4 linked regions of the Saccharomyces cerevisiae S288C genome follow. The protein of the gene in region 4 interacts with the protein of the main gene of each other region in a biochemical or structural test. Each region holds a gene or a part of one and is shown on either strand. Other genes may lie near its edges.

Region 1 (6,692 bases), on a different chromosome or scaffold from region 4:
TTTCAAGAAAATGAAACCTCCGTTAAACATGTCACGTTCAAATAAACCACTTACTCAGGAAGCTAATAGTTCGGCGCATATTGATAGGGCACATCAGCTAGCACAGGATTTTAACAGTAAACAGGATGATACCGCACTAACTTCACTGCCCCACAAGAACCCCGACATATTCAGATTTGAGAACAACATCACAGCTCATAGCTCGCGTCGTGGTTCTCTATATAGAGACAGCGATGCTACTGTGGTTTTGCCGCTTTCTGAACATACCCCTAGATTATCAATGGATGATCCATACCGCCAATTACTACAACAGGCTGAAATCTCACAACTACGAAGTAAGAAAAAAAGGCATTCCAGTCGAGTTTTGCGTACTTCGTTTATATCTTTTGTGGTGCTAGTTTCCTCGCTGTCAGGGTTGGACCAAGGCCTCATATCTGGTAACGTTATGACTTTGTCGTTCCAGAAGTATTTTCATTACCCACTTACTTCTCCGCTGGGCAATATAGTGAGCATTGTTAATCTGGGTGCGTTCATGGCGTCGTTATTTGTCTATTCTGGCATCCTGGAGCCTTGTAGCAGGAAAAAAATGCTCCAAATAAGCACAATGATATACTCTTTGGGTGCCATTGTTCAGGTCTTGGCTCTAAACCAATGGTGTTTACTACTGGGTAGATTCTTACTCGGAGTAGGTATGGGCTTTGCCTTTTCTATGGTAATAATTTATCAATTCGAGTTTCCCCTTCCCTGTATAAGAAAACGGACATTAATTTCCATTCAATGCGTCTCTAGTGTCATTGCGTATTCATTCGGAATATGGATTAATTGTGCTTTCAGATATTTGGGCTTTGCATGGAGATACCCTTTGTCAACACATGTGGCACTTGGAATAATACTAAACCTAATGTCGTTCTATCTTATTTTAGAGTCCCCTTCGTGGCTGTTGAAGCAAAAGAACGACGTAGAGGCATTGGTTTTAATATCGAATGTTTTCGATGATGGAAATTTCGAAGAAAACCAAACTCAGTTGAAATTTAGGGTCCTGAAACGAGACATATTATTAAAGTCACACCTTCAAAAAAACTCCTATCCATATGCGTATATCTTAAAGGATTTTTCTTCAATAATAAAATTGTTGATAGGTTTCCAACTTCTCACACGAACAAATGGAGTGGATGCTTTCTTGTATTACTCACCGTTAATATTACAACAAATGGGGAGAGGAGAAAGAAAATCTATCTATTTAACGGGGCTTAATGCTTTAATTTACAGCATCGTAATATTAGCATATGTTCCCTTGGTGTTACGGAAACGTAAAGAGAAAACGAATGTACTCTTAGGTTCGATTGTGATGTGTGCATTGCTATTTACCATATCTTTTACAGACTGGTTTCCCAAGAGCACAACGAGGTATATATCAATACTATTTGCTGTTTTTCTTTTTACGCACTTCATCAGTTGGGATTCTATAGGATGGGTTATGACCATTGAGCTTCTACCTCACTTGTCACAGGCCCCAGTGATACTACTAGTCTCAAACTTTTATTGGATTTTTAAGTGGTTCGTCAGCTTAATAACCCCTATACTTATTGACCGTCTGTCTTGGAAGTTTTATCTTATTCCATCTTTATCTTCCTTTATTTCCATTATATTTGTGCTGAAGATTTTTCCTATAGAAACCCGTGACGAAAGGTTAGATTCTGATGATGATTCTACCGGAAACGGTAGCGGTAACCATGATGATGTTTTTGACGATACCGGTTCTGAATTCTCCTCCTCACCATCTTTTTCCGCGTATCAGATAAACACTCTAGGAAGTAGTATCAAACAAAATAATCAAGCCTATTCATCTATTCAAAATGAGCAGATTCTACCCAAAAACGGAAACTTATCGAACCAGACACACGGTTCTGCACAAAATGTTTATTTCATTACATCTGATTCAGGACCATCAAGGACTGGAGAATTTTTCAGTTTTCATAACAGAACCGATCCAAATATCAGCGACAACATTGCTGCGAATAAACCCAGTTCAGGTGGAGGCCAGAATTCGCCTGGAGACATGGCAGTTGCCTAGTATGGCCTCATAAAAATATTTGCTTCATCCTAAGTATAAATGTTTAGTTTTATCCTACATACATATTCTTATTATAGTCATTAGAAAAAAGGCACGGCGCTATTGGCCTGGCAGGGCATTTAAAATGCGGTGGAAACAAGGAAGATTAATCAAGTAATGATATAGCATATGCACAAAAAAAAAATTGAAAACGGTCGCATTTTTGATCTAAATGGACCAACGATGAAGGAACTGCTTTACTATACATTCATTGAAACTGAAGTGACTGGTGCATTTTTGGTGTTTAGGGAAAAGACTCAAAACCTTGTTTTTGCCTCGTTAGGTAATGATAAGCTTTTTTTATTGGGAAAGGTGGAAGGCTTCTTGAAGAAACATGAGAAACAGGATACAATGTACGATTTACAGGAACTAAAAGAGGCAGAAACATATAAGAAATCAATCGAAAATTATACAATATGTTTAGAAAACAAAATGCCATTACCATCGGGCGCTATTCCCTTTGAGTTCCTGTTTGGAACAGATTTTCAACGTAAAGTTTGGAATGAGCTTTTAAACGTGGAACACGGCCACGTCGTAACATATGGTGATATTGCAAAGAGAATAGGGAAGCCAACTGCCGCAAGATCTGTCGGAAGAGCTTGCGGCTCAAATAACCTGGCATTGTTAGTACCTTGCCATAGAATCGTTGGTAGCAATAGAAAATTAACCGGATATAAATGGAGCTGTAAACTGAAAGAACAGTTATTAAATAATGAAAAGGAAAATAGCTTAAGCCTTAGTAGATTGTAGTTGGATAAAGGATTTTAGGAAAATAAACATAAGAAATAGTTATGTATATGTGGTAAATTGTTCTAGTTATACATCTATGTTACAATATGGCTGGCGTTGGTAATCTTGTGAAACAAGCGACGAACTTGTCACCCTTCTTTCTTTCCACTTTTTTACCTTCTTCTGTGGCATTTCTCATTATTTTCACACATTCATCGTTTTCTTCCCATTCTTTGCTCAACCGTTCAAATAAAGGATGCTCTTCTAAATGTTTTACCATCCACTCATGCAGGTCTTTGACGTCTGTAATTGTGTACACGACACCGCCCTCTTTCAAAACATATGCGTACTCACTCAGCAAGGTGTTAGTGATAATTCTTGCCTTATGCTTTCTTTGTTTGAAATGAGGATCGGGGAAACAAAAAAACATTTTAGAAAGCTGGCCCTTTTCAAAAAAGTTGGGCAAGAATTTCATAGCGTTACCTCTCAAGACATTAATGTTTTGAAATCCATGTTTTGAAGCTGTATTGTTCCTTAAGGCAATAATTCTATCCTCCACGTAATTTGTAACCTGCACACGAATTTCCATCCCTAAGATAAGATCTTCAGGGAAGGCTGGTGATAAATCTATCATCAACCCACCGAATCCACAGCCAATATCAGCAATCGTCACCTTCTTTGTCATTTGTCCATTTTCCGCGTTTTTGTAGTAAGGGTACAATTTGGACCAATCCATATCCTGGGGAGATACTGGGTACTCTAACTGGTGATCTGAAAATGGGTTGGAATGCGCCCTTTGACGATAATATCTCTTCTTTGGCAAGTCGATCTTTTGGCCTTCTTGCACCAAAGAACTTTCATTGATCTTTACATGCTTCAACTCCTTACGATTTTCTTCCTTATTTATACGGTATGCGTAACGCTTGGAGCCTGGATCTTGGCTTAGTGGCTTGGCTTTCATCTTAACAATAAACGCTTGAAAATTTTATCCTATGGGAACTGCTGAATCTATACTAATCCAGCTTTTGTGGCGCTTTAATAAAGTGAAATGTCAGAAATATCCTGAAATTTTTTGCTGAAGTCATCACCAAAATTTTTCATTTTTTTTTTTTTTCAACGGTCGCTGAGATATGTAAAAAGGTAAGAAAGGTAAAAGAAAGGTAATTTTGACGTCAATACATAGACTAAAGTATATTTACCGTTATTGCTTCATTGTCTTTTTATTTTTTGATGATGTATGTACATGATTGAATAGTAAAACCTTTATAAAACTTGTCGAATTACGGGCATTTTCTTTTTACTTTGATCCCTTCGATTCTGCATCTGTAGTTGACTCCACATCCTCTTTAGGTTTTTGGTTGTCATTGTGAGATTTTAGTGTTAAATACAATGCATTTGAACTGTTTTCCAACGTACGAACCAAACCCAACCCACTTAGCATTTGCAAAACGCTGACTAACTGCGACTGCATTTCCGGCTTTGTGGGGAGAGTCTTAAAAGTGTTTATTTTTTCCACATTCAAAACTTCGTTTTCTACTTTTGCACCAATCACCATCAGCTTGTCTTGTGCTGACTGCAGAACCTTCAATAGCTTGGCTACTTGTTGAGGGTTGGTGTCTTCGTATGTAATTGTGGCCGTAGGACCCTTCAGTAGTGGCAAGAGTGGATGTTTCCAGTTTTGCTCTTTACGCTTCACGAATCCACATGGGTCGGGCAGATGCGAATTTCTCAAGTAGACTTCGAACAGGTTGTTTCTTACTTTTGTGAGTTTCCCTCCTGTCTGTTTAATCTTGAATCTGAAATGGTGATCTTCTGTTTTGGAAAGATTATTGTAATGGACAAAAAAAATCATAGAACTGTTCTCCATTAAATGCTTGTATGTATCGATGAGAAACGTCTTCCTCGAGTCCAGCGGCTTTACTGTCTTTCTTGAGGGTTGTTCAGAAGCCAGAGCATAAAATCTCTTATGTACTGTACCAATTGTCTCCTTCAAACCAAAAAAACCATTTCTGGGGACCCATCCAGGCATAAACCTTAGCTGCAACATTATTTATAATCACACTCCGCGCCCAAGCACTTCCAATAAGGTCTAAAGCTTTTGTTTTCCTTACTCTTCAATTGTACTAACCTTCTTTCTTTTCTCAGTTTACTGCTATAACTCTACGTTTTTTTCTGTATGAATCTCTACTAAGCCCTAGGGTTATTAGTGTATAAACGTTAGGTTACACTATGAAAAAGACTTGTTTAATAGGTCATATAGTAAAAAGCTTAGGTTAAGTGCCTTCAAGAACGAAACCTAATTTTAAAATTGACGACTAATTATCAAGTGTATTGAAGATGGCTTGAGATGAACCTTAGCACTGGATGCTATGGCTTGTAGAATAAGCAGATATCCCGGTAATTTAATTTGAGTTGCTCAAATTATATACAAGAACGTGGTAGAGACTGGATTTGGAAGCGTCTCTTTTTATGAAGTAGATTTTAACTCCGTTTTCTTTTCATTTCCTTCTATTCTTTTGTACAGAGTGTACCACCACGTTTTAATACTTTGTTTTAATACAGTAGGCAATGGTTAATCAGGGCCAACCGCAACCTAACCTCTATGACAAACACATTAACATGTTTCCACCAGCAAGGGCGCGGGAGTCCTCGCATAAATTGGGAAATGCCAATTCGGATAGGCATGGTTTGCCAGCTCAAAATATAGTGCCTGCACCCTATCCAGTGGATGACTCTATCGTTGAACTCACACCAGCTATTCCTTTTACATCCCCTTCATCTTCCTCATCATTATCGCTGCCTTTGAGTGCGCTGAATTTCACAGACGGGAATGCTGATGGTGGTCAATTAGGCACTCCAGTAACCATAAATAGTAATAACGGCATGGACATTTTTAATTCCAAGCCAACAGGTGAAATAGGATATGCCAATAATGGCACCAACAGTACTGGTAGTAGGTATGAACTTCCTTTCAATTTTAGTTCTACAAAAGAGAGTTTGGGTTCACCAGCTGTACAAGATGCATCAATAAGCAGTGGAAATCGAATATCAGAGTCTGTAAGGGACAACTCAGCGCCACCACCCTATGAGGAATCTGAATCTAGGATACTGCAGGAAAAAGTTTACAGAACCGAGGAAAAAGCTCCAATACGACCTTTGAATAATAATCCTGTTCCACCACAAAAAATCAACCAACCACCCACTGGGAGCGCGAAGACAGACGATAATGGGTCCTCAGGTGGTGAGGACAAACTGTCTTCCTATTCACCAGAGGCATTGGCTTTCTATCAAGTGTACAAGAAGACAATTACTGACTCTTCAAAATTCACCCCCGAGATACAAATGCAATGGTGTGAAACATTACTTACATATGCCTTTAATGAGGATTTCATATCGCAATATAACATAAACGCGGAGAAGCTCAAAAGAAGCTTAAAGCCTGAGGAAATGCTCAAAAACCAGAAAGTCATTTTGGAACATTCATTCAAGGTGCTCACAAAATTGATAACTTTAAAATGGCCACCTGCCATGTATTTAATGGGGACGCTGTATTCACACCAACCCTATTTACCTATAAAGAACAAAAACATCGTTATTAAAAATGATGAAAAGGCGCTGGAATATTATTGTAAAGCTGCGAAATTGAACAATTCAGATGCATGCTACCGTGCAGGTGTATGCTTTGAATACCAAAGGGGCACCTCTTCTTTGGATCCATCACCAACCAAAGAACAATGCATAAAAAAGGCCTTCCAATACTACCAGCATGGCGCAGAAGTTTGTTCAAATTCTGCGTGTATGTATAAATTAGGGATGAGCCATTTATACGGTCTGAACATGCAAAAGACTG
Region 2 (7,123 bases), on a different chromosome or scaffold from region 4:
ACCGAAGATCAGTAAGCTCTTGTTACTTTTTTGTTGGAATAGAGGATCAAGAAGCATTTATTGCTAGTATCCAAATTATTAGTATATCATCATGTTTTCAAAAAAAAATGATGTAAAAATTGAGAAACAGTCACCAGTCATCATGAAAAGTGCACTGCAAGGATTAATAACGTAATAAAACAAGAACGACAGTACATAAACGAAAGAAGAGATAACTATATTATTGTATAGAATTATCGATTCTCTTTTAGAATTCTTTTATTCTCCAGGAAAACTACTTGTACATTCTGTTTAGCTAATATTGTAGCCTTTAACCACAATAAAATGCACTCCAAGTATAACCCAAAATTCATTGTTTTCAAATTTATATTAATGAGATATTGGTAACCTAAACATCAAAAATATTTTTACTCAAATTCTCTTTTCTGAAAACGCTGAAGGAAATGTGCAGGAAAAATGTTTGGCCATCAACTTTTATTCCTAGTACCACAACTAACGTCACATTCTATCGAGGCAAATGCTAATTGGCAACTAACACTATCTTAACGGTTTGATAATGTCAACACAAAATTCACCTATTATTACAAACGAATCTACCGGAAGTTGAAATGCCTGACAATAATCATACAATTGCATGAATAATTGCGAACAGATGGCAGCAAAGGATGAACTAATCATAATTATACATTGCCGCTGTAGGTTTCCTCCCATAAAAATCCAAATTTCCAAGAAAAAGTTCTTGTGTCTTCATACACTTAATATTGTTATCCTTCTTCAAGACCGGACTATATAAAGAAAAAATTTTGTAATGCTATTATATTTCAACTTCAAATTATTTTCTACTAGTAGACATAATGGAACTTCGCTCTCAGATAATCTATGGCGATAGATGGACAATTGACAATCTTCTGAAAGAATTTATATAATAAGATGTGACCATGACCTAAACCTGCTCACGCTCATGAAAGGATACAGGTAATTTGGCGAAACATTCCCAAGCTTCGCTGATAGACCTATCCCAGAAAGTGTCTGTTTAAAACTACAAGTATTTGCAGTTTTCGTTATCCAGTTTCGTTCAAGAGCATTAATGCACAAGCCACTTATATTATATAAATTTAAACTTTGGGAAAATATCATACACCTATTGTACCAGTAAATGTTGGAATAAAAATCAACTATCATCTACTAACTAGTATTTACGTTACTAGTATATTATCATATACGGTGTTAGAAGATGACACAAATGATGAGAAATAGTCATCTAAATTAGTGGAAGCTGAAACGCAAGGATTGATAATGTAATAGGATCAATGAATATTAACATATAAAATGATGATAATAATATTTATAGAATTGTGTAGAATTGCAGATTCCCTTTCATGGATTCCTAAATCCTTGAGGAGAACTTCTAGTATATCTATATACCTAATATTATAGCCTTAATCACAATGGAATCCCAACAATTACATCAAAATCCACATTGTCTACAGTAAAAGTATACCACTAATAGATTTGTAATTGGTGTATGAAGTAGTGTATGGTATAAACGTTAATAAGTGCTTATCAAAGTATTACCCGCTTTAACAGTTTTTGTGTTTTTTTCAAGAAAAATATTATATGTATGAATATAGAACATGAGTTTATATGGAGAAAGTGTCTCGACAGCTTTTAAAGTCCCGAAAGGACTAATATCGAATAAAAGTTGCATCCATTAATATACCAATAAATAAAGGGAAAGATGTCCCTGGAAGAATTTGACGAAGTTAAATATGATCATTCAACTAAACGCCTAGATACACCATCAAGGTACCTGCTGCGCAAGGCTAGAAGAAACCCTAACGGGCTACAAGAACTGCGTGAGTCGATGAAGTCATCCACAATTTATGTAGGAAATCTTTCCTTTTATACATCAGAAGAACAAATTTACGAATTATTCAGTAAATGTGGCACAATAAAAAGAATAATTATGGGTTTGGACCGTTTTAAGTTCACGCCATGTGGCTTCTGTTTTATTATATATAGTTGTCCAGATGAAGCATTGAATGCCTTAAAATATTTGTCCGATACAAAGTTAGACGAAAAGACAATTACCATTGATCTAGATCCTGGTTTTGAAGATGGAAGACAGTTTGGTCGTGGTAAGAGCGGTGGTCAAGTCAGCGATGAATTGAGGTTCGATTTTGATGCATCCAGAGGTGGCTTCGCCATTCCATTTGCAGAGCGTGTCGGCGTACCACATTCCAGATTTGATAACAGTAGCTCACAATCTAATACGAATAATTATATCCCTCCTCCTGATGCAATGGGTACTTTCAGACCAGGTTTCGATGAAGAAAGAGAAGATGATAACTACGTACCTCAGTAGAATCAATCAATTTATATCTGAGAAAGATTCTACACACAGATATATATATATATATATATATTATTGTATATATACATACCTACATTATTTTTAAAGGCTTGCATGATGCTGTTATGTAAAAAAAAAAAAAAAAAATCAGTGTAACATAATAGACGTAACACGTTCAATGACATGATAATACTATATATAGTAACGATAAAATGTAAATGGTAATAGATATAATTATATGAATATTTAAGTAATGCATTGATAAGTGATCAATTCATATCAGGGTTGGATAGCTTTTTCAATTCTTCCAGCCTATCAATTAGTTTTTTACGGCGTGTAACGGGGGCATGAGCAAATCTCTTGGATAATTCATAATCCGTGGAGCAGGTTGACGTAGCATCGTACATAGTATTATTTGTGGCAGATAATGTGTTATGATATGCTGAGACGTTTTGAACTCGTTCCACTGGGGTATTATTCGCGTTGTCATTAGGAATTGAGTTTACCAGGGTATAGTAATCACTAAATATTTTGCGTCTTCTCACATTTATGAACCAATTAGAAAGTTGAATCTTGGTTAGCCCAGTTTTGATTAACAACTCCCTCTTTTCTTGTTGAGTTGGGTAGGGGTTATTCAGGTGGTTCAGCAACCAAGTATTCAGTATCTGCACTGTTTCCTTTGGCAGGTTAGACCTCCTGCCCGAATTTTGCTTCCTCCTTGATTTAGATTCTACAAAATCCGAAAATGGCCTGTTGTATTGTGCCCCCGCATCCTTTTCCTTATTGATTATTTCATATATTGGGGCGGATTTGTAGCAGGGCTTTGCATCATCGGACGCCGATTTTGACTTCTTTGAACTGCCATATTGAGATTGTGTATCCATAGCACTGCTACTCGTCTTGGACGTTTCAACTGTAGAAGCAGTAGGAGTAGCAGTAGTACTAGTACCGCCAGAATTAATTGCGGGATACGCAATCGAATGATGCTGTGGAAGTAACACAGGCGCAGGATAGTTTTGTTCCTCGGTACTAGACCGAAGGTTCCCATGCGAGTATTCTATGTTCGAAAATGCCAACTCGGGCATACTCCGTTTTTCTATGGAGTTAAATAGAACTTGGATAGGGGGTAGACTGACTTGATTGTCAACATTCTTACTGTTCCTGTTTTGTATTTCGCAGTTATAATTCATCTTCGAATGTAACTATTCTCGAAGGTTGTTAGCATAAAAGTAGGGGCTCGGCAAGTAGCGATCAGTAGCACTGGATAGGCGTGGTATCGCTTGAAAACAAGGGTGGGAAGATCAACTAAAAAATTGTATTAGTATATATCTTGACCAATTTAACATAATCTTACCAATTAACAGAAACAGGAGGCATTAAGAGACAAGAAAACGCCGGGCGCGACGAAATCAGTCATAGAAAATTAATCATTAATATATACACGCTGTAAGAAAACAAAAGGACAAAAATTAATTACCAAAAGAAAAAAACAAACTACAGCTTGATGTACATGAATAAATTAAGGTTCAACAAAAGAGAAAAGCTGAGAGACGTAAGATGGCAGAAATGACCCGTTCCCACAGAAAGAAATCTGAATCCGAAGAAGGAAGTAATACGCGCGTGAGCGGATAAGGTTTCTTATCTAGCCAATCACAAAAATCAACAGTAGTAATTCTCGTGGGATTCTTTTGTGTCTCTTAAAATTGCCCTTTACGTACAGTCTTCGTCCATTATCAGGACGATTTGACAGAAAATGAGCGAGATCAGAAATATACCGCTACCGATCATGAGTGCTCAGAAAACCCCGTGGATAACCCAACGGTCCGAAAGTGACAGTTTTTTCTTTTGCCGCTTTACTTTTTTTGCGTCTTAAAGGGCTGTGGCTCCTCTGCGCCTGCGCCAGAGTAGCGGTAGGGTTCTTACTTCGGGCAACGCCGACTCTGGGTGCATTCGCCAGTGTGAGGAAGCACGCTGCTTGTGCTTGTTGGAAGTGTGGACTAGGTCAAGCCCGCCGGACACTAGGAAACACGCACAAAATTCTCAGGCACTAAATAGGCCAGAAGCAAAAAGCCGTCGGTAGTGCTCCTTTTCTCTGTTGCCGTTAACGGTCAGGTCTGTTAAGACACATAACGAAAAGCATATGTATAATAGGCACCGACATTTGTGCGGCATATTCTGTGCTTAGTTTGCAGTACAAGACGAGCTTCGGAGGCATACTACTTTAATCATATTTGCTCACTTTTAAGTTGCTCACTTTCTAATACGTGCATTCCTTTACAAGCTTACTAACACATTGGCTTGGCACTTAAAACACTAATGAAACGTGTTTAAGGGGCCCGACAATATTGCTATTATGTCGCTCTCAACAGCTTGTTTGCGAATTTTAAATTTGATAGCTCCCTCTTTCTCCTCCTCTACCGTTCGACATGACTAAAAGGCGTTGGCACGATTTTCTTTGATGCTAATGTAATCAAGTCAAGTATGGGTTGCTTTGACGATCCAGATGCAGAAGTCAAAGTTACGAGTCAAAACCTACGAGACTAGACATATCTCTGCAGATGAAAAGGCCTGTTCTATAAAAAAAAAATCACTGTTAAAGTTCAGACAGAAGCTTATTTCAAGGAAAGCACTGTGATTGATTTATTCACTATCGAGTTTCTACAGGTGTTGAAGTTCATATATTTGCACGTGCTCGTAGCTCTTTTCTTCCTTTTTGAGACATAAAAATATGGAATATCTTGGCACCCGTTACAAGCCGTCTCTAAAAATATACATGGCGTACATAATAATCTCCAGCTGATTCAAATATCCCGCGCTTTTCCCGTGGTAAATACTGTGTGTCCTATTAGGCTTTCTCTTGGCATTTCACTTCTTAACCTCTAAGGTATTCAAGGGGCGGAGGTGTAATAAAAACAAGAAAAAAAAAAAAAAGAGGAAATTTGTGGCAATCTTCCTAATATAACTATGTTGAAATGTGTGTACTAACACCTTATACTATCTATATCCTTTGTCTAAACAGCTCTGCCGATAAAAAAATTCCCCGCGGAGATGTCCATACTGACTAATAAAATTGTCCCGCACAGGCAAAAAGCAACTTTAAATGCATGGGCTCCTAATCTTAGAATTAAACGTATTTAGTCTTCCTAGGCAAGAAATCTACAAGTCATAGGAGTATATGTTGTGTATACTATAGTTGATTGCCTGCATAAATCGATGTGTAATTTTCTTTCAACCGATAACTAAAATTCGTTCGTGTTTATTCCATGAAGGTTTTTATTCTCAAGAAAATAGCGTGCTGTATTTTGTAAAATTGTGCCGAGTGTGTTAGCTTGAACCTGCACAGAGCTCCAGTCCTTGATTGCAATAGTGTCCCTGATTTCAGGGAACGTCCATGAACGAAGTGGGTCACCTTTGTCGACCCAGAGTTTTGGCCCGAAGATAACGTTCTTGTAAAAGGTTCTATCCATTAACCCTTCCTCCAAACATTGGGTAACGCCTATTAGGGAAAGTAGGTAGTTCCATGACCAACGATTAATGGCAATGATAGTGGGTTCTATATATGTACCGGCTCCATACATAAGCTCTGTCCATTCGCTTTTCCATTTTTCGAACTGCAGTTTAGTGTTTTCCCACAATGTTGTGCCCAAAAAGACTTCGTCAAAGTTTACCGTATCAGGACATTCTTTTTGGAGGTCTTTTAACGTAGTTGAAAGGAAATCTACGTAGTTCGATATGCTGAATGGGATGAATGGATCGTCAATGAGCTCGAGTGATTTTTCGACAAGATATAGCATTATCTCAGAAAGTACCTCTCCCTTCTTTTTGTCTCTTAGTTTATCTTTGATGAAATCGAATTTGTCTTCTACTGTGTAGATCGGATGTTCTCTATTCATGACTCCTGGAGATGAAATGATCGCAACTGGAATCCCTTGCGCTAGATACGGCGTCCAGTCGCCGAACTGGTGAACATTATCCACTTTAACGTTAAATTTACGGCTTGTCATGTTTTTTTGAAAAAGATCTACTAGTAGCGGATGACATTGTATCTCTAAATTGTTACTATCATCCCATATACCGATTTGGCCGACGTCGATAATGGTGTATATTTCACTCTTCAATGCCTCTGTTCTCTTTTCCATCAGCTCCGTGGCTCCCGCTTCATTAAATTCAGAGCCCCCAAAGGAAATGAAATATATATTTCTTAGAGGCTTCCAGTCAAATTTGTAAACCATTTCTTGATATAATTGGATCAGAGACAGCAAAACGACGGTTCCAAAAGAAGGATACATAGTGCCATAACTAGCAGAGTTCCTCGGTGCAGCAATAACAATTGCCCTGCCCGCTTGTTCCGATCCTTCAATTTTACCAACTATATCGTGAACCGGGTGGCGTTCCCTAATTGCTGTTTGCACTAGTAGGTCAAGTCGACAATCGTTAAGCGACCCACTGAATAAATTATTAGAAAACTTTACGCCAGTGTCTGATAATATAGCTAGTATTTTATCTCCTTGATTGGCAGATATCGGTATGGATGGAATTTTGGGTAGGCACTTGGCTTCCGTAGCATCGATAGGATCTCTTATTGATCCTTCCCATTCAGGCGTAAGTGCATCACCAGTACCATACTGCGGCAACGCAACTGACTTCATTTGTATCACGTCTTTGTTGTCTTGATAAGGCTCAGAAATAAAGATAATTGCTTTCGCACCATATTCTTGAGCAGTCAACATTTGTTGGAAAACATAATCTCCGTAATGCACTAGTAAAATA
Region 3 (6,781 bases), 470 kb from region 4:
TCCTCTGTCAAATTTGGTGGAACAGAACAAATTGATTTTCATCAGAGGTTCTATTTCCGTAGAGGAAGCATTCAACACGCTGGTCAAGCACCAGCTAACGTCTTTGCCTGTGGAGAATTTTCCGGGAGACATGAATTGTTTAACATTCGACTATAATGATCTCAATGCGTACCTTCTTCTTGTATTAAACAGGATCAAGGTGAGCAACGACAAGATAACCTCAGACTGCCAGAATGGTAAGTCCGTGCCCGTGGGCGAGATAGTAAAGTTGACACCTAAGAATCCATTCTACAAATTGCCCGAAACGGAAAACTTATCGACGGTAATAGGCATACTAGGCTCAGGTGTGCATCGTGTTGCCATCACGAACGTGGAAATGACACAGATTAAAGGTATACTTTCCCAACGTCGATTGATTAAGTATCTGTGGGAGAATGCGAGATCATTTCCCAACTTGAAGCCTCTCTTGGACTCTTCCCTGGAGGAGCTGAATATTGGTGTACTAAATGCAGCCCGTGATAAACCTACATTCAAGCAGTCACGTGTCATATCCATCCAAGGTGACGAGCATCTAATTATGGCTCTGCATAAAATGTATGTCGAAAGAATCTCTTCCATTGCGGTAGTTGACCCGCAGGGAAACTTGATTGGTAATATTTCAGTAACAGACGTCAAACACGTCACCAGAACTTCACAATATCCTTTATTACACAATACATGTCGTCATTTTGTCTCGGTTATTTTGAATTTAAGGGGCCTAGAGACCGGTAAGGACTCATTTCCTATTTTCCATGTGTATCCAACAAGTTCCCTGGCAAGAACGTTTGCCAAATTGGTCGCTACCAAATCTCACAGATTATGGATAGTACAACCAAATGACAATCAACCAACAGCATCTTCCGAAAAATCCTCATCTCCATCACCAAGTACTCCACCCGTAACGACATTGCCATCGCTTGCGTCGTCATACCATTCGAACACGCAATCTTCCAGGATGGCCAACTCTCCTGTTCTAAAATCTTCAGATACATCAAACAATAAAATAAATGTAAATATAAATTTGAGTGGTCCCTCACCTTCTCAACCACAGTCTCCATCGGCCACAATGCCACCACCTCAAAGTCCAAGTAATTGTCCCGCATCTCCAACTCCAGCACATTTCGAAAAGGAGTATAGAACAGGTAAATTGATAGGTGTTGTGTCATTGACTGACATATTAAGTGTTTTGGCAAGAAAACAAACGCATCATAAGGAAATTGATCCGCAGATGGCAAGAAAGCAAAGAGGGCATATAGGCTGAAACAAACCAGACGAAAAAAACTGGCTTCATTTAACTACATATACATATATAAGGGTTTTTCTGATTTTTATTTTATCCCAATAAAGTTTGATTTTTTTTTTTTTACTTTTATTATGCACTGGGGCGAGGTTTTTAGGCCCTTTCTTTTCTTAGAGGAAATATATACACATGTTCTCGCTAAAATCAGTTAAAAGGTCCGATTGAGATGGTACTGTCAAATGTTAAAATCTTCAGATTAAAATCGCATAGAGCCTTCAGAATCGGTCCCATGATTAAAGCAGTCGCAGGAAATCTTTTGGTAAAGAGATTTTATCAACCAAAATTAGAAAGAATTCCACCGGCTTCACTGCTTTTGAAGCAGAAAATACGGTTAGCTCAAAATGGCAGTACTACATCTACAGAAAACCCCATTTCCTTCTCACAGACCATGTCCGAGATATTTAGCGTCTTGCAGCCAAGTGCACCAGATCTAGATGAAGACGAAACAAGTGGTTTGAAACGCGATCATTTATTAACTGAGCGTCTAAACAACGGCGAGCTTGGTGTCATTATGAACAAATTCTTCAATCCGTCTTCGACACATAACAATCAGTTGATAGATACGAATATATTACTTCAGAATTTTCCTAAGTTAAGTGGTAATGACTTAGATTTATTGGATTTTGCCATAAATGAGAAAATGCGAGGAAACTGGAATGATCTAAAGCAAGATTTCATTCAGTTGTGGTACTACAAGTCATTTGGCTTTCTTGGACCTCGAACTCAATTTGTCCTGACAAACTCTTCTCCGTCAGTTAGGTCCCAATTCTTGAAACTTCCATTCATCGAATATAATTGGTTTCTCCTACAAAATAACAAAAACGCAAATATACTACCTGCTGATGTGCAAAACGTGGTCAAGGTGTTTCATCTTGATGATAAAAGGTTTACTTGGAAGAGCATAGATCCATTCAGCAAAGCTATAATTTCATTCGTCGTTTTTGTTTCCATATATGTGTGGTTGGATGAAAGTGCAAAACAAAAAACGAAGGAGCTGCCCGCACAGAAGAGTACTGTAATATCAGAATAAAAAAAAATGGGGTCACTCTTCATTCTTGCAGTTAAAAGTGCCACTCACTCATGATTTTTTTTTTTCCTGTTTTTTTGATTTTTTTTATATATTATACATTAAGTTATCTAAGTAAATATATTCTTTCTACTCTAAATAAGTATTCCTTGAATCAAACACAAAAGATACGGGTATCGGCAGTTATAACCGATAACAAATTGTCCTTATTTCTCATTTCACGTTATTTTCTCCAAAGAAATTTATGGTAGAGCAGTGTTTCTTTTTAGTATATTATTTATATGCAATGTTTCTATCATTATTAAATTTTCTTTACGGTATAAAGTAGAAGATGGAGGAATAGAAAGCAAACGGATCGATAGAGAAAGAAACTCACGATGAAGCCCTATATTTGATTGAACAAAAAGGTAATCGAATTCATAATATCGGCTCGGCATTCATCATTAAGATTCTTTTGATTTTTCTCAGTCTGCTTCGTCGTCGTCGTCGTCGTCATCATCATCATCATCATCGTCCATATCGTCCATATCATCCTCCCAAGATTTCTCTACCGTCTCCTTAACTCTTTTGACGTACTGTGATTTATGATCTTTGAATAATGTTGCAGCTTCAACGTTTGCTGGCGAAGCTGGATTTGGATCGTTGAATAAACTTTGAATGGATGTCAATATGGATGCGACATCATATGTTGGAGTCCATCTGTTCTGCAAAATATCCAAACAAATTTCACCATTTGCATAGACATTGGGATGAAACATTTCACTCAAAAATTTGACATGCGGTGGCTTATTGGGATATTCTTCATCAAACTCCAACAATAACCTAAAAGTTCCGTCTTCATATGGAGTATCGGCTGGCCCGATAATCATGGCGTTCCATACCATGACGTTATCAGGTAATGGTGAAGCAGATACACCCGGTGGGGCATCTTCCTTCATACGTTTAAAATCTCTCATCAACCTTCTTCTAGCTGGTGTGGACATGACGCTTTATCTTTTAGTCTCTGTCTGCCTAAAAATAATCTTTGGAATTCGATCTTCGTTGATTTTCCACTCTACTATTTATGTCATCAACTCTGCAACTTGATAGTTCTTTCCTTTTTTTCTCTTACACATTCCATTCGCTTTCATTTTTATTTTTCCAGCTTTCTACTCCGGCTACCCGGAGGTGCCTTTTTGTATATACATACACTAATCCGGGAAATGTAGTCACCATACTAATATTCCGAATATGTATTTGTTCCTTGGTATATAGTGTAAGCATGGTTAGCTCACACTTTATCTAATTGTAGTTTCTTCGTATGCTTCATCAAGTTGCCTAATTTTAATACAACATCGGTACCATATCCAGGCATTGAATGCAATGAAAGGTCGCCGTTCCAATATTCAGCATACACTTTACACATGGCTAACCCAATCCCAAGCTTGTATCTAAAAGACCGCTTTAACAATTCAATTAGGGGAGTTTCATATTTGATGTGCCCATTTATGATGCTAGGATAACTCATTGGTTCTAGCGACGTGTGCATGTACGGTTTTAATGTTATTGACTGCAATGACTTCAGTTTGGAGTTATATTTAGTATGGGAATGTACTTCGTCATAAATAGATACTGTTTGTAAACCAGGTAACTTGTGAAAATTATTTAGGGATTCTTGAGCCCTTTCTTTCGATTTACCGAATGACCATAGATTTTCATCATCATGGAGGACGCCCCCAGCTTTATCTGAAATTCTAAACAAATAGGATTCATCGTTACTTACTACAGTTACTATGATTGGTTCCGGCTTTTCTAATCCCTTACGAATATAGTGTTTCATGGTTGCTTCGTAAGTATTTCGAAGGATCTCCCCTAACAAATACTTCAAATGTGTAGGCAAAAAGTAAAAGCTTAGTTGAGTGTCACCTTCGATAATAAATTCTGGCATGGGAATGTCTTTAAAGTACATATCTTGGATAAATTTTTGAGATTCCTCACTGGCTTCCAATAAATATTTTTTAGCGCTACATTCTTGAAAAATATCACCCAATACCAAGGTATTTTCCTCCTTACCACTAGTGTAGTTGGCTGTGATACTGACGTGTTCCTCTACAATCAATCTTCTTGATATTCGAGCTCTTAACAGATCAGATAGTAGTTGGTCCATTTTTTCACGAGGATAAAGATCCAAAATTGTACATTCTAAAGCCCCCATTATCAAATGTGGTAAGTTTAGAGTATTGAAGCCTTCTAGCATATTTTTGATAAAATCTGCAAATTGAGAAGCGTCCTCTAAAGTTCTTATAGTCGGATATTTTCTAAAGCTTTCAAAAATATTGTAATATGACTCATAAACTTGAACAAAATGGAAGTTGTTCACAACATTAAATGGAAGTTGTTGCAATTGATTTAATTTATGCGCGATCCTAATTACCAGTTCTTCTTTTACAAATTTCCCGGAATTGATGATCTTGGTTCTGGTCAGCTTGGTAGAATCGTCATAATATTGCGCTAACTGCGTTAATGATACTGGATTTGGACTTCGTTTTAAGTAATTTTCTACTAATACCGTTCTATTATGATAGTAATGCTGCGGATTGATATATTCGGAATTTGAAGGGTATGCCTTCATGGTTTCCATGATGTAAGGTGCCAATTCTTCATTTACGGGACCAATGCAGTATTTCGTGAAATCAGGGATCTGCGAGATATTAGATGTCCTGAGAAAGTGCCGGTATCTTATGCAATTAATTTGATACTTAGACATAATTACAGAACTATTTATCCATTGACCAATCTCTCACGATCTTCATCTTTTACGTACTTTCTGGGTTCCAATGCAAGTATCCCATCCCTTCCCTTTTTATTCCTTGACGATCGGGCGATGAAATCTGAAAAAAATGAAAGTTTGGATGACTCAAAACATAGTGTTTCCCTTTAATAGAATAATTCGATTTACTCGGGAACAAAAGAGAAGAGCAACTAATTTACTATGTAGTTTACGAGCGTATGTTCATCTCTTCTATATATTCTCCCAGAGTATTATTGGAAATGTTGATGAATGCTAATTCAGGCTCACCTTCTCCTTGAAATGATTCGGAGATTTCTTTATTGATGAGTGTTAACAGACCCAAATCCCATTTGTTCCTTAAACTAACAAAAAATTTCATATATGTTAGTACCAAGAGTAAATCACCTTGCGTTCTTTTCTTTTGCTTGGCGGCAGAAAAACATATTAAAGCAATGCTATGAATGGAAGCCATGCGATCTTCATTAATAGTGATGTAAGGTCTTGGAGGTAGAGTTGGCATTATCGGTACACTATTAGCGGTATTCCCAGGATTCTGTTGTTCGATTAAACCGACAGTTTCGTCACGATTAGCAGCCTCAGGAGATCTAATCATCATATCTCTTAGAATGTCAAGAACAGCAATCTTTGCAGTTATATATGGACAATGTAGTAGAGTTTCAAAGATGAACGTAAAAGATGTGCTTTCGGGCATGAGATAGAGTAACCTCCTCAGAAGAGTAATTTCGGTCAACTTAGTGTCGTTATTAGATTCATTGCAAGTTTTCATCAGTAACATCTGCAAAAAGGCCGTGGTAATGTGCCCTGGAAGTTCTTGTAAGGCACACTTTATTTTCTCTGTGGAAGTCTCGGTTGTGGATACCCATAGCCAGTAGCGTACTGAACTTTCCAAAAACTTATTTTCGTATATTTCTGAAAATAAAGAAGCTGTCGTACACCGTAGATAGAGGTAAATTGCGCTTTGGATATCAATTTGCGGCAATAAGTGAGTACCATTTTTAGAATAATGTATTGCAGATAGAATCACAACTCCATATTGGTCCAGCTCTAAGTTCTTTTCGTCAGCTAGTTTCTTGATTTGATATGCGTAAGATACCTCATATACTAGTTGGTTAATTTCTTCTTTGAATTCGGGCGTGGAAGCGGCCGGGTTCATGAGAAGAGAGTTATAGATGCTTCTTGATTCTACCAGGCACTTTTCTAAAAGTTCTTTCATGTGGACATCCAATGATGTGACATACTCGTAGTATTGGTGGCATATCTGTAAAACTGAAGCATCGATTTCATTTTCATCTGTTTTTTTATGCATCAATGTTTTGAAATATATCTTGTCAATATTACCTGGATGATTTTTTAGGCAGTTGCTAATCACGAATACGCTCAGATTAGCCAGTAGTTTTTTCTGTAAGGCAGATTCATCATCATGAATTTTTTCAAGATCGTTTGTACTAATACCATCGGTCAGACTAGCAGATGGTTGAGCTGGAGAGTAATTAGTACAAAAATTGTACACTATGCGCAAAATAAAGTGTGGATCATCCATAGCCTGAACGTTGGTTGTTACATACTTAATAATTGCAGAAGTTACCATGGCTAGAAATTTAGATGGATATAAAGTGTCCACACG
Region 4 (11,786 bases):
GTATGGGTTGATCTCATTTTCATCCGATGAGTATAGTGCTGCAAGTTCTGTCTTTTGTAATGCCTTCTTAATTCTTTCACCATCCTCATCAATCTTCTTTTCCCCAAATAACTCATCTTCTTCGTTTTCGGAAGGAGCTTCTTCATCACGAAGCCCCATCGCATTAGCTTGCAGCATCTCCTTCTTGATTCTTTGTTCTGATTCTTTATTTTCTTGTTCATTACCATCTATAATAGGTGCCTCCTCATCATCGGCAAACTCTTCATCATAATCTAACTCTACTTCTGAATTGTCATCACGATCATCTTCATCCATAGCTTGTTGATCAGCGACGGCTTTAAGCTTTCTTCTTGTTCTGTCATATCTAGTTGTAGTTGTACCTATATTATCCAAATGCTTCATCAACCAACGTGGCACTTCACCACTTTTTTTGTCCATTCTTTTTTCTGCTTCGTCAATGGTCAAAGTAGCATATTTATTTCTTGCGGTAAACTTATAAACCTTATCAGCAGGAATCATGGTAAAACTTCCATCATCTTCTACACTTAACAAGACATAAGAATCTGAGTTACCTGCTTCATAAGAACCCACCCATGTATTGTACCCATCAAAATCTTCCATAACCCATGGATAAAATTCCTCAAATCTCAGCTTTTTGGCGTTCTCATCAAGAACTTTTAATTGACGAGTTTTCCTTCTCAAATTTCCTCGTTTGGCCCTACCGCCTCCATCTGGTGCCACATCTGCTAGTGGATCCATAGTTCCTTCTTCAAATTCCGGTTCGTTAGTCACTTCTTTTCCGTCGTACTTGACCATTCCAACTTTAGTAGGGTCTTCAGCTGGGCCTGCATCCTCTAGTTTTGTCACTAACGGCCTTCCGTTAGCTAGATTCGCTGTAGATGCATTGCCATCCAAACCGTTAGCTGCACTAGTTGAACCATTTGACAGTCCATTACTTTCAACGGCGGATACAGTAGTAGGACTAGCAGGAGGGACAGAAGAGCCAGTTACAGTAGGAATGGAGGAGTTCACACCGTTGGCCGTGTTGTCTTTAGTAACTGAATCAACAGTAGGTGTCTGAGACCCATCTTTAACAGTATTATTGAGCGAGACCGTTCCTGATTTATTCATACCACCCGAGTTAGGAGTACTTCTTTCTTGCTCTGCTTTTTTTTTATACTCAGAAATTTCTTTTTGCCTTTGAACAATTTCTGCTCTTGTTAGCTGAAACTGCAAGTTTCTCGTATCCTTCCTATGCAGTCTTACGGGAAGATGGAAGTCTGTTACAGGGTTTATCTTTTTTTTACTCTGAAACTTCAAAAGATGTGTCCTCATGTTTTCTAAATCCTCCTTTGGAATAGCTCTTAAGGGAAATTCATTATATTCATTAGGATCTTCGTCCTTTACTTTAACATTGCTCCTGCCAGCATCGGCCTCGACACCGATTTGCAAAAGCATTTTCTCTCTCTCTTCAGCATACTCAGGATCATCCTTTTTGACAAGAGATCCCCTGCTGTTGTCTCCATTTGGTACGCCTGGGGAACTAGAATTGCTGCCGTTTTGACCCATTCTCATCCTCAGGAAATTTCTTCTCATTCTGTCTCTTTTAATGAAGGGAGAGGCATTCGTCGGACCTCCCCCGTTTCTACTGCCTGGTGGATTGCGTCTGGACATCCTTGCGCTTACTCGAATAGGCCTCCCTAGCTATTCTTCAACCTTTCGAACCATCCATACTTCTTACTATCATAATTTTTATTTTATCATGGAGGCGAGAAGGTCCTTATTCGAGCATCACTAAGAACGGAACTCGAACATTTACAAAGTAGAAAAATTTTATGAAAATTAATTGTTCTTTCTTCAGAATACAAATTAGTCATTGTCAAAAAGAGATTAGCATCCATAACCGCATACTCTAATTGACGATAACATGTCCTCTGCTGCCACGGTTGACCCTAATGAGGCGTTCGGTCTCATTACCAAGAACTTGCAAGAAGTCTTGAACCCACAAATCATCAAAGATGTTCTCGAAGTACAAAAGAGACATTTGAAATTATACTGGGGTACCGCGCCCACTGGAAGACCTCATTGTGGTTATTTTGTTCCTATGACCAAGCTTGCTGATTTCTTGAAAGCAGGTTGTGAAGTGACTGTTCTTTTAGCAGACTTGCACGCCTTTTTGGACAACATGAAGGCGCCATTGGAAGTGGTGAACTATAGGGCCAAATACTATGAATTGACCATCAAAGCTATCTTGAGAAGCATCAATGTTCCAATTGAAAAGCTAAAATTTGTTGTTGGCTCTTCTTACCAGCTAACTCCAGACTATACCATGGATATCTTTAGATTATCCAACATTGTTTCACAAAACGATGCTAAAAGGGCAGGCGCTGATGTTGTCAAGCAAGTCGCCAATCCATTATTGAGTGGGCTTATCTATCCTTTAATGCAAGCGTTGGACGAACAATTCTTAGATGTTGATTGCCAATTTGGTGGTGTCGACCAGAGAAAAATTTTTGTCTTAGCGGAAGAAAATTTACCAAGTTTGGGCTACAAGAAAAGAGCACATTTAATGAACCCTATGGTTCCAGGTTTGGCTCAAGGTGGTAAAATGTCTGCCTCTGATCCGAATTCAAAAATCGACCTTTTGGAAGAACCAAAGCAAGTTAAGAAAAAGATCAATAGTGCATTTTGTAGCCCCGGTAACGTCGAAGAGAATGGTTTACTGTCATTTGTCCAATATGTCATTGCACCAATCCAAGAATTGAAGTTTGGTACAAATCACTTCGAATTCTTCATTGATAGACCAGAAAAGTTCGGTGGTCCAATTACCTACAAATCCTTCGAAGAAATGAAATTGGCTTTTAAAGAAGAAAAATTGTCCCCACCTGATCTAAAAATTGGTGTTGCTGACGCTATCAACGAGCTATTGGAGCCAATCAGACAAGAATTTGCCAACAACAAGGAATTTCAAGAGGCCTCCGAAAAGGGTTATCCAGTTGCCACACCACAAAAGTCGAAAAAGGCTAAGAAACCAAAGAATAAGGGTACTAAGTACCCAGGCGCTACTAAGACCAACGAGATTGCCACGAAACTAGAGGAAACCAAATTGTAAGCATAGCTTAATCCGTTTTCACGATTCATAATATAATAAATAAGAAAAGATATATCATATAAACGTTATAAAATTAATAACCGGGTAAGTGTAGAAAAGTGATGCGACGGTTTATTTTCTCTTCCTCTTGCGATTGAATTTAACTTGCAGATAGTGACCATAAGGCAACTACCCAGTGGCAAACAGTTTTGATAACGCCCAGTACATCAACGAGCGAGTATAAAGACTTTGGTACATTTTAAAAAGGAAACATATATTGTTTTCATTGCTAGACCCTTTTAGTCTCACCTCAATAAAACTGCTTTATTCCTCATTGGGCTTTTTATTCTTTAATTTTGCATACTTATAGCGTGAAACTGGGCATTTAACAAAAGCAAACTATTTTAATAGTAGCATCCTGCTTTCTTTGCCCCTCCTTCTTATTGCGATACATTATTAAGTTTTTTTACCACCTTTCTTCCTTTTTCTTCGCATCTTCGGACAAAGGCAGTTGAAGTTTACTGTATCCTATTAGTTGACTATTTTCTCTCACTGAAGTCCCTAATCTTTACAGGTCACACAAATTACATAGAACATTCCAATATGTCCGTTGCTGATGATGATTTAGGATCTTTACAAGGTCACATTAGGAGAACACTGAGGTCTATTCATAACCTCCCCTATTTTAGGTATACGAGAGGTCCTACTGAAAGGGCTGACATGAGCAGAGCCCTTAAAGAGTTCATTTACAGATATCTATACTTTGTCATTTCTAACAGCGGAGAGAACTTACCTACTTTATTCAATGCTCATCCAAAACAAAAATTATCTAACCCAGAGCTTACTGTTTTTCCTGACAGTTTAGAAGATGCTGTGGATATTGATAAGATAACATCTCAACAAACTATTCCGTTTTATAAGATAGATGAATCCAGAATAGGAGACGTCCATAAACATACCGGAAGAAATTGTGGGAGGAAATTCAAAATAGGGGAACCCTTGTATAGGTGTCATGAGTGTGGTTGCGATGATACTTGTGTGCTTTGTATTCATTGTTTTAATCCAAAAGATCATGTGAATCATCATGTTTGTACCGATATATGTACTGAATTCACTAGTGGAATTTGTGACTGTGGAGATGAAGAAGCTTGGAATTCTCCACTTCATTGCAAAGCTGAAGAACAAGAAAACGATATATCGGAAGATCCCGCCACAAATGCCGACATAAAGGAAGAAGATGTATGGAATGATTCAGTGAATATAGCATTAGTGGAGTTGGTTCTTGCAGAAGTGTTTGACTATTTTATCGATGTTTTTAACCAGAATATCGAACCTCTACCCACAATACAGAAAGATATCACTATCAAATTAAGAGAGATGACACAACAGGGAAAAATGTATGAAAGAGCGCAGTTTTTAAACGATTTAAAATATGAAAACGATTATATGTTTGACGGAACAACAACAGCAAAGACGAGCCCCTCTAATAGCCCTGAGGCATCTCCATCGCTTGCGAAAATCGATCCCGAAAATTACACGGTAATAATATATAACGATGAATATCATAACTATTCGCAGGCTACGACTGCCTTGAGACAGGGGGTTCCAGATAACGTACACATTGATCTATTAACATCCAGGATTGACGGAGAAGGTCGAGCAATGTTGAAATGTTCACAAGATTTATCATCTGTCTTAGGTGGTTTTTTTGCTGTTCAAACGAATGGATTAAGTGCCACTTTAACATCGTGGTCAGAATATCTTCATCAAGAAACATGCAAGTATATCATCCTTTGGATTACACACTGTTTAAACATACCAAACTCCTCCTTCCAAACCACTTTTAGGAACATGATGGGTAAAACCCTGTGTTCAGAATACTTAAATGCAACAGAATGTCGTGATATGACACCGGTGGTGGAGAAATATTTCAGCAACAAGTTCGATAAGAATGATCCCTACAGATACATCGATTTATCTATCCTTGCAGATGGCAATCAAATTCCTTTGGGTCATCACAAAATTCTACCCGAATCAAGCACCCATTCACTTTCACCATTGATAAATGATGTAGAAACTCCAACATCAAGAACATATTCTAATACAAGATTACAACATATTCTTTATTTTGATAACAGATATTGGAAAAGACTGAGAAAAGATATTCAGAATGTGATCATTCCAACGTTGGCCTCTTCAAATTTATACAAGCCCATTTTCTGTCAACAGGTAGTCGAAATATTCAACCACATCACAAGATCTGTGGCATATATGGATAGAGAACCTCAGCTAACAGCTATAAGAGAGTGTGTCGTACAGTTATTTACATGCCCTACGAATGCCAAAAATATTTTCGAAAACCAAAGTTTTTTGGATATTGTGTGGTCAATTATAGACATTTTTAAGGAGTTTTGTAAGGTGGAAGGTGGTGTATTGATCTGGCAGAGAGTTCAAAAAAGCAATTTAACAAAGAGTTACAGTATATCATTCAAGCAAGGGTTGTATACAGTTGAAACTTTATTGAGTAAGGTACATGATCCTAATATTCCATTGAGACCTAAGGAAATAATATCTCTATTAACTCTTTGCAAGCTCTTCAATGGAGCGTGGAAGATAAAGCGTAAAGAAGGTGAACATGTTCTTCACGAAGATCAAAATTTCATCTCCTATTTAGAATATACCACCTCCATTTACAGTATTATTCAAACAGCGGAAAAAGTTAGCGAAAAATCAAAAGATTCCATTGATTCAAAGCTTTTTTTAAATGCAATAAGAATTATCAGTTCATTTCTAGGCAATAGATCACTAACATACAAGTTAATATATGATTCTCATGAAGTCATTAAGTTTAGCGTAAGCCACGAAAGAGTTGCATTTATGAATCCTTTACAAACAATGCTTTCATTCCTTATCGAAAAAGTGTCTTTAAAGGATGCATACGAAGCGTTAGAAGACTGTTCAGATTTTCTGAAAATATCGGATTTCTCTTTGAGATCAGTTGTATTGTGCTCTCAAATTGACGTCGGGTTTTGGGTAAGAAATGGTATGTCTGTGTTACATCAAGCATCGTATTATAAAAACAATCCCGAATTAGGTTCCTATTCCAGAGATATACATTTGAATCAGTTAGCTATCCTTTGGGAACGTGATGACATTCCGAGAATAATATACAATATTCTTGATAGATGGGAATTACTAGACTGGTTTACAGGTGAAGTTGACTATCAACACACTGTCTATGAGGATAAAATTTCATTCATCATTCAACAATTCATTGCCTTTATTTATCAAATATTGACCGAAAGACAATATTTTAAAACTTTCTCTTCTCTAAAGGATAGAAGAATGGATCAAATCAAAAATTCAATCATTTATAACCTTTACATGAAACCCCTTTCGTATTCAAAGCTACTAAGATCAGTTCCTGACTACCTAACTGAAGATACTACCGAGTTTGACGAAGCACTTGAAGAAGTCTCTGTTTTCGTTGAGCCTAAGGGCTTGGCCGACAATGGTGTTTTTAAATTAAAAGCAAGCTTGTATGCAAAGGTTGATCCGTTAAAGTTGCTGAATTTGGAAAACGAATTCGAAAGTAGTGCAACTATTATTAAATCACATTTGGCTAAGGATAAGGATGAAATAGCAAAAGTTGTACTAATACCCCAAGTCTCAATAAAACAGTTAGATAAAGACGCTCTCAATCTGGGTGCTTTTACAAGGAATACGGTATTTGCCAAAGTGGTCTATAAACTACTCCAGGTATGTCTGGATATGGAGGATAGCACTTTCCTGAATGAGCTACTACATTTAGTTCATGGTATATTCAGGGATGATGAATTGATAAATGGTAAGGACTCTATACCAGAAGCTTATTTGTCAAAGCCTATATGTAATTTACTCTTGAGCATAGCCAATGCTAAATCAGACGTATTTTCCGAGAGTATTGTCCGTAAAGCCGACTATTTGTTAGAGAAGATGATAATGAAAAAACCAAATGAACTTTTTGAGTCATTAATTGCCAGTTTTGGCAACCAATACGTTAATGATTATAAGGATAAGAAACTACGCCAAGGAGTTAACTTACAAGAGACAGAGAAGGAACGAAAAAGAAGATTGGCCAAGAAACATCAAGCAAGGCTTCTAGCCAAGTTTAACAATCAACAAACGAAATTCATGAAAGAACATGAGTCTGAATTTGATGAGCAGGATAACGATGTTGACATGGTCGGTGAAAAAGTATATGAATCGGAGGATTTTACCTGCGCACTATGTCAAGATTCCAGTTCGACCGATTTTTTTGTGATACCTGCGTACCATGATCATTCCCCGATATTTAGACCTGGTAATATTTTTAACCCAAATGAATTTATGCCCATGTGGGATGGTTTCTACAACGATGATGAAAAACAAGCTTATATTGACGATGATGTTTTAGAGGCTTTGAAGGAAAACGGTAGTTGTGGATCTAGGAAAGTATTTGTATCCTGTAATCATCACATTCATCATAACTGCTTCAAGAGGTACGTTCAAAAAAAGAGATTTTCATCAAACGCGTTTATATGTCCTTTATGCCAAACATTTTCGAATTGTACTTTACCTCTTTGTCAAACCTCAAAGGCAAATACTGGTTTGTCGCTAGATATGTTTTTGGAATCAGAACTTTCTTTGGATACATTGTCAAGGCTCTTCAAACCTTTTACTGAGGAAAATTATCGTACAATAAACTCTATATTTTCGTTGATGATATCTCAGTGTCAAGGTTTTGATAAAGCGGTAAGAAAGCGGGCCAACTTTTCGCATAAGGACGTTTCTTTAATATTAAGTGTGCACTGGGCAAATACCATTTCAATGTTAGAAATTGCTTCTAGGTTAGAAAAGCCATACAGTATTTCATTTTTCAGAAGCAGGGAACAGAAATACAAAACTTTAAAAAATATATTAGTCTGCATTATGCTGTTCACCTTTGTCATAGGCAAGCCAAGTATGGAGTTTGAACCGTACCCGCAGCAGCCCGATACTGTTTGGAACCAAAATCAACTCTTCCAATATATTGTTCGAAGCGCTTTATTTTCTCCAGTTTCACTTCGTCAGACTGTTACAGAGGCGTTAACAACGTTCTCTAGACAGTTTCTAAGAGATTTTCTTCAGGGTCTTTCTGATGCAGAACAGGTTACCAAATTGTATGCTAAAGCGTCCAAAATTGGGGATGTTCTTAAAGTAAGTGAGCAGATGCTCTTCGCCCTAAGGACCATATCTGATGTACGAATGGAGGGATTGGACTCCGAAAGTATTATTTATGATCTAGCTTATACCTTCCTGTTGAAGAGTCTTCTTCCTACGATAAGAAGGTGCTTAGTCTTTATCAAAGTGCTACACGAATTAGTGAAAGATTCTGAAAATGAAACGCTGGTCATCAACGGTCATGAGGTTGAAGAAGAACTGGAATTCGAAGATACCGCCGAGTTTGTCAATAAGGCATTGAAAATGATTACTGAAAAAGAATCCTTAGTCGATCTTTTGACAACGCAGGAGTCCATTGTATCGCATCCATATTTGGAGAACATCCCATATGAATATTGTGGGATTATAAAACTGATAGATTTATCAAAATATTTGAATACTTACGTTACCCAATCTAAGGAAATCAAGCTACGTGAAGAGCGTTCTCAGCATATGAAGAATGCGGATAATCGATTAGATTTCAAAATATGTTTGACATGTGGTGTCAAAGTGCATTTAAGAGCGGACCGCCATGAAATGACCAAGCATTTGAATAAAAATTGTTTTAAACCATTTGGCGCCTTCCTGATGCCCAATTCAAGTGAAGTTTGTCTCCATTTGACACAGCCTCCTTCTAATATTTTTATATCTGCACCATATCTAAATTCGCATGGTGAAGTTGGTAGAAATGCCATGAGAAGAGGTGATTTAACCACCTTGAATTTGAAAAGATATGAGCACTTAAACAGATTATGGATTAACAATGAAATTCCAGGTTATATTAGTAGAGTAATGGGTGACGAATTTCGAGTGACTATACTTTCCAATGGTTTCTTGTTTGCATTTAATAGAGAACCAAGGCCAAGAAGAATACCTCCAACAGATGAAGATGATGAAGATATGGAAGAGGGAGAAGACGGGTTTTTTACGGAGGGAAATGACGAAATGGATGTTGATGATGAAACTGGACAGGCCGCCAACTTATTTGGGGTTGGCGCAGAAGGTATTGCTGGTGGCGGAGTACGTGATTTTTTCCAATTCTTCGAAAACTTTAGGAACACTCTACAACCGCAGGGAAATGGCGATGATGATGCACCTCAGAATCCCCCACCAATATTGCAGTTCTTAGGACCTCAATTTGATGGAGCTACTATCATAAGAAATACAAATCCAAGAAACCTCGATGAGGATGACTCTGATGATAATGATGACTCTGATGAGCGAGAGATTTGGTAGATTCAAGCCCTCTACTATGTTTTATAGTTGACATATTTGTATATAAAAACTTATACATTATTAAACATTTGCGCGTCGATTGACTTTTATTTATTATTAACAAAGAAGTAATACCAACCTAATTACAAATACTTCGAAGTGACTATCATAAGTTTCCTTATCTAGCGAAGGCAACTTTTGAACTCCCCAGTTGTTAATATGTATCATTATACACGACCCAATCAAACGCGGGGAAGTCAATGCCGAAAGAATTCTAGGACCTAAAAGCTGCTCAATCCTTGGGCCTTTCCCTAATGACATCCCCTCTCAAACTTTAGCTTAGCAGTTGTATTTAATGTCCTGTCACGGATAGTCAATAATCGTTGAAGGTTGATTTTCATATCCTTCGCAATTTCGTAAAGCAACAATAGCAATACGGACTAAAATGGTATGTTGGTGTGTGTGTGTGCTGCTTCACATTTCAGGCTAAAAATGTTATCCGTGGAATCTTCCTTAGCCAAGTATCATGGGCTTTGGAAATTAGTTTCCCACCGATGAGCGCAACGACTTAGCGAAGCTTATGAAATTGGTGACAGCAGCTCTATGAATATGTTCCATGCGTTTCCATTCAGGTTACTAACAATGCATAAATTATGAGTAGTCTTTTTCATCACTATATAAAACCTTTTTCAAACGAAACGCTGTTTTTGTTGGTACTATCTTTGCAGGTGCCTTTGTTTTCCAAACTGTATTTGATACTGCTATTACTTCATGGTACGAGAATCACAACAAAGGAAAATTATGGAAAGATGTCAAGGCTCGAATAGCTGCAGGCGATGGAGACGACGATGATGAGTAAACGCTGATTATGTCACACATATACGTGCAAACGCTCTCTCTCTCTCTCAAGCTATATAAGTGGCACTCGTCTTATTTATTATTTTTTTATTTTGGCTGGTTGTTCATGTTCAACCCAACCTCATAAAGGCACTCAACTTCATATTTTGACACAAATCTATGTCTCGCCAAAGCGCATTCAAATTTCAGAATGGAAATAGACACGAACGAGCCTGTCTGTCAGATGTTCACAAAATCCTTATTATAATTTTATATTCTACTAAAGGAAAAAGAGAATTAGGAAAAAGAATAACTCATTTTATGTATATACATATATTTTGTACATATCTATACCAAGCAAGTATAGTGCAATACTGTTCTTCGACGTTATTAAACGTAATAGCATTTTCTTGGTATCCTTTGAATCTTATATACAAGTACGAGTACATACTGCGCAGTAAATTGATCCTGATGGTGTGTTTAGATTTCGCCAGAAGCGGAGGCGTTCTGGATTCTGGAGATGTAAGCCTTTGATATGACATTCCAACTTCTCATATATTTAGCCAAACACTGGTCAATGCACGCATCGTTTCTGGTAGCGTATGGCGAAGTTAAGCATTTTTCAAAGCAGTTCTCAGAAATTTTGTTCACTAATTCAGTCGCATTAGCCACAGCCAGTTCTTGAGCAATTTGGTTTTTCAGCTCCTTGGCTATAGGGTTTGGGGTTGTCTTTGCAGTAGTGGCTGCTTCCTTTTGTTGTGATGGTGCACCGCCGCCAAAGATAGATGATAGACCCATTTTCTTGATTAAATAAGCTCAAACTGTTGTTGGAGAGAAAAGATTGATTGGTTTGAACTGACAGATATCCTACTTGAATCCTCTTTTTGTCGATTTTATAAATCTTAGGACCTAGGATTTTTTTACTCTTCGGCAACGCCAGGAAAACTAAGATACACCGGAAACAAGAGGAAGGAGATCAAGAATTAGCGTTGGCTAGTAATGTGACTAAAGGGGAAAGACATTGCTCTTTATTCGCTTATATTTTATTTGTTGTATTGATATGATCTCTTTCTGAATCTGTAGCGACCTGTCAAATCGTCAAGGGTATGGTTTAATGAGGAAGTGAAACCATAGCGCTAGCGCCAGTTCCAGGTTTGATACATAGCAAATCTATCATATGTACTCATAAATGCCATTTCAGAACTCATTTAGCAGTTTTGTTTTAGCTTGAACGTTATCAGAATTCTTGCGGGTAATACACCGGTGCAAAGTCCATTATCGACGGGAGAGATAACAGATGCAGGCTCCAAGAAAAGTGGTCATGGCTTTTATCACCAGGACAAACTAGCAAGGACAAACATTTTATTCGGATGATTGGATTTAACGGCTGGGCGAGTGGGTGATACCGCGGTGTTACCATCCT

The links.
Region 1: of the proteins of UBR1 (region 4) and MGT1, one has a biochemical effect on the other in vitro, tested with the Saccharomyces cerevisiae proteins (3 studies listed by BioGRID, with this or other methods).
Region 2: the proteins of UBR1 (region 4) and CUP9 form a complex in vitro, tested with the Saccharomyces cerevisiae proteins (5 studies listed by BioGRID, with this or other methods).
Region 3: the proteins of UBR1 (region 4) and RAD6 form a complex in vitro, tested with the Saccharomyces cerevisiae proteins (10 studies listed by BioGRID, with this or other methods).

What each region holds. Positions count from the first base shown.
Region 1 is NC_001136.10:96,672-103,363, reverse strand, and holds MGT1 (methylated-DNA--protein-cysteine methyltransferase), read left to right. Parts: upstream 1-2,296; coding exon 2,297-2,863; downstream 2,864-6,692. Other genes in the region: YDL199C (uncharacterized protein), read left to right, coding at 11-2,074; TRM8 (tRNA (guanine46-N7)-methyltransferase), read right to left, coding at 2,943-3,803; mitochondrial 54S ribosomal protein uL10m MRPL11, read right to left, coding at 4,140-4,889; ACK1 (Ack1p), read left to right, coding at 5,411-6,692. UniProt on the Saccharomyces cerevisiae protein: Involved in the cellular defense against the biological effects of O6-methylguanine (O6-MeG) and O4-methylthymine (O4-MeT) in DNA. Repairs the methylated nucleobase in DNA by stoichiometrically transferring the methyl group to a cysteine residue in the enzyme.
Region 2 is NC_001148.4:210,420-217,542, forward strand, and holds CUP9 (Cup9p), read right to left. Parts: upstream 3,544-7,123; coding exon 2,623-3,543; downstream 1-2,622. Other genes in the region: nuclear cap-binding protein subunit CBC2, read left to right, coding at 1,739-2,365; TRE1 (Tre1p), read right to left, coding at 5,593-7,123. UniProt on the Saccharomyces cerevisiae protein: Probable DNA-binding protein which plays a role in protecting yeast cells against copper toxicity. May regulate the expression of important copper homeostatic genes.
Region 3 is NC_001139.9:390,554-397,334, reverse strand, and holds RAD6 (E2 ubiquitin-conjugating protein RAD6), read right to left. Parts: upstream 3,350-6,781; coding exon 2,831-3,349; downstream 1-2,830. Other genes in the region: SDS23 (Sds23p), read left to right, coding at 1-1,300; GEP7 (Gep7p), read left to right, coding at 1,506-2,369; protein kinase PKP2, read right to left, coding at 3,637-5,112; YBP2 (Ybp2p), read right to left, coding at 5,345-6,781. UniProt on the Saccharomyces cerevisiae protein: E2 ubiquitin-conjugating enzyme that accepts ubiquitin from the ubiquitin-activating enzyme E1 and transfers it to a E3 ubiquitin-protein ligase.
Region 4 is NC_001139.9:857,662-869,447, reverse strand, and holds UBR1 (E3 ubiquitin-protein ligase UBR1), read left to right. Parts: upstream 1-3,694; coding exon 3,695-9,547; downstream 9,548-11,786. Other genes in the region: transcription factor IIF subunit TFG1, read right to left, coding at 1-1,674; tyrosine--tRNA ligase TYS1, read left to right, coding at 1,928-3,112; QCR9 (ubiquinol--cytochrome-c reductase subunit 9), read left to right, coding at 9,972-9,974, 10,188-10,385; protein translocase subunit TIM13, read right to left, coding at 10,844-11,161. UniProt on the Saccharomyces cerevisiae protein: Ubiquitin ligase protein which is a component of the N-end rule pathway. Recognizes and binds to proteins bearing specific N-terminal residues that are destabilizing according to the N-end rule, leading to their ubiquitination and subsequent degradation.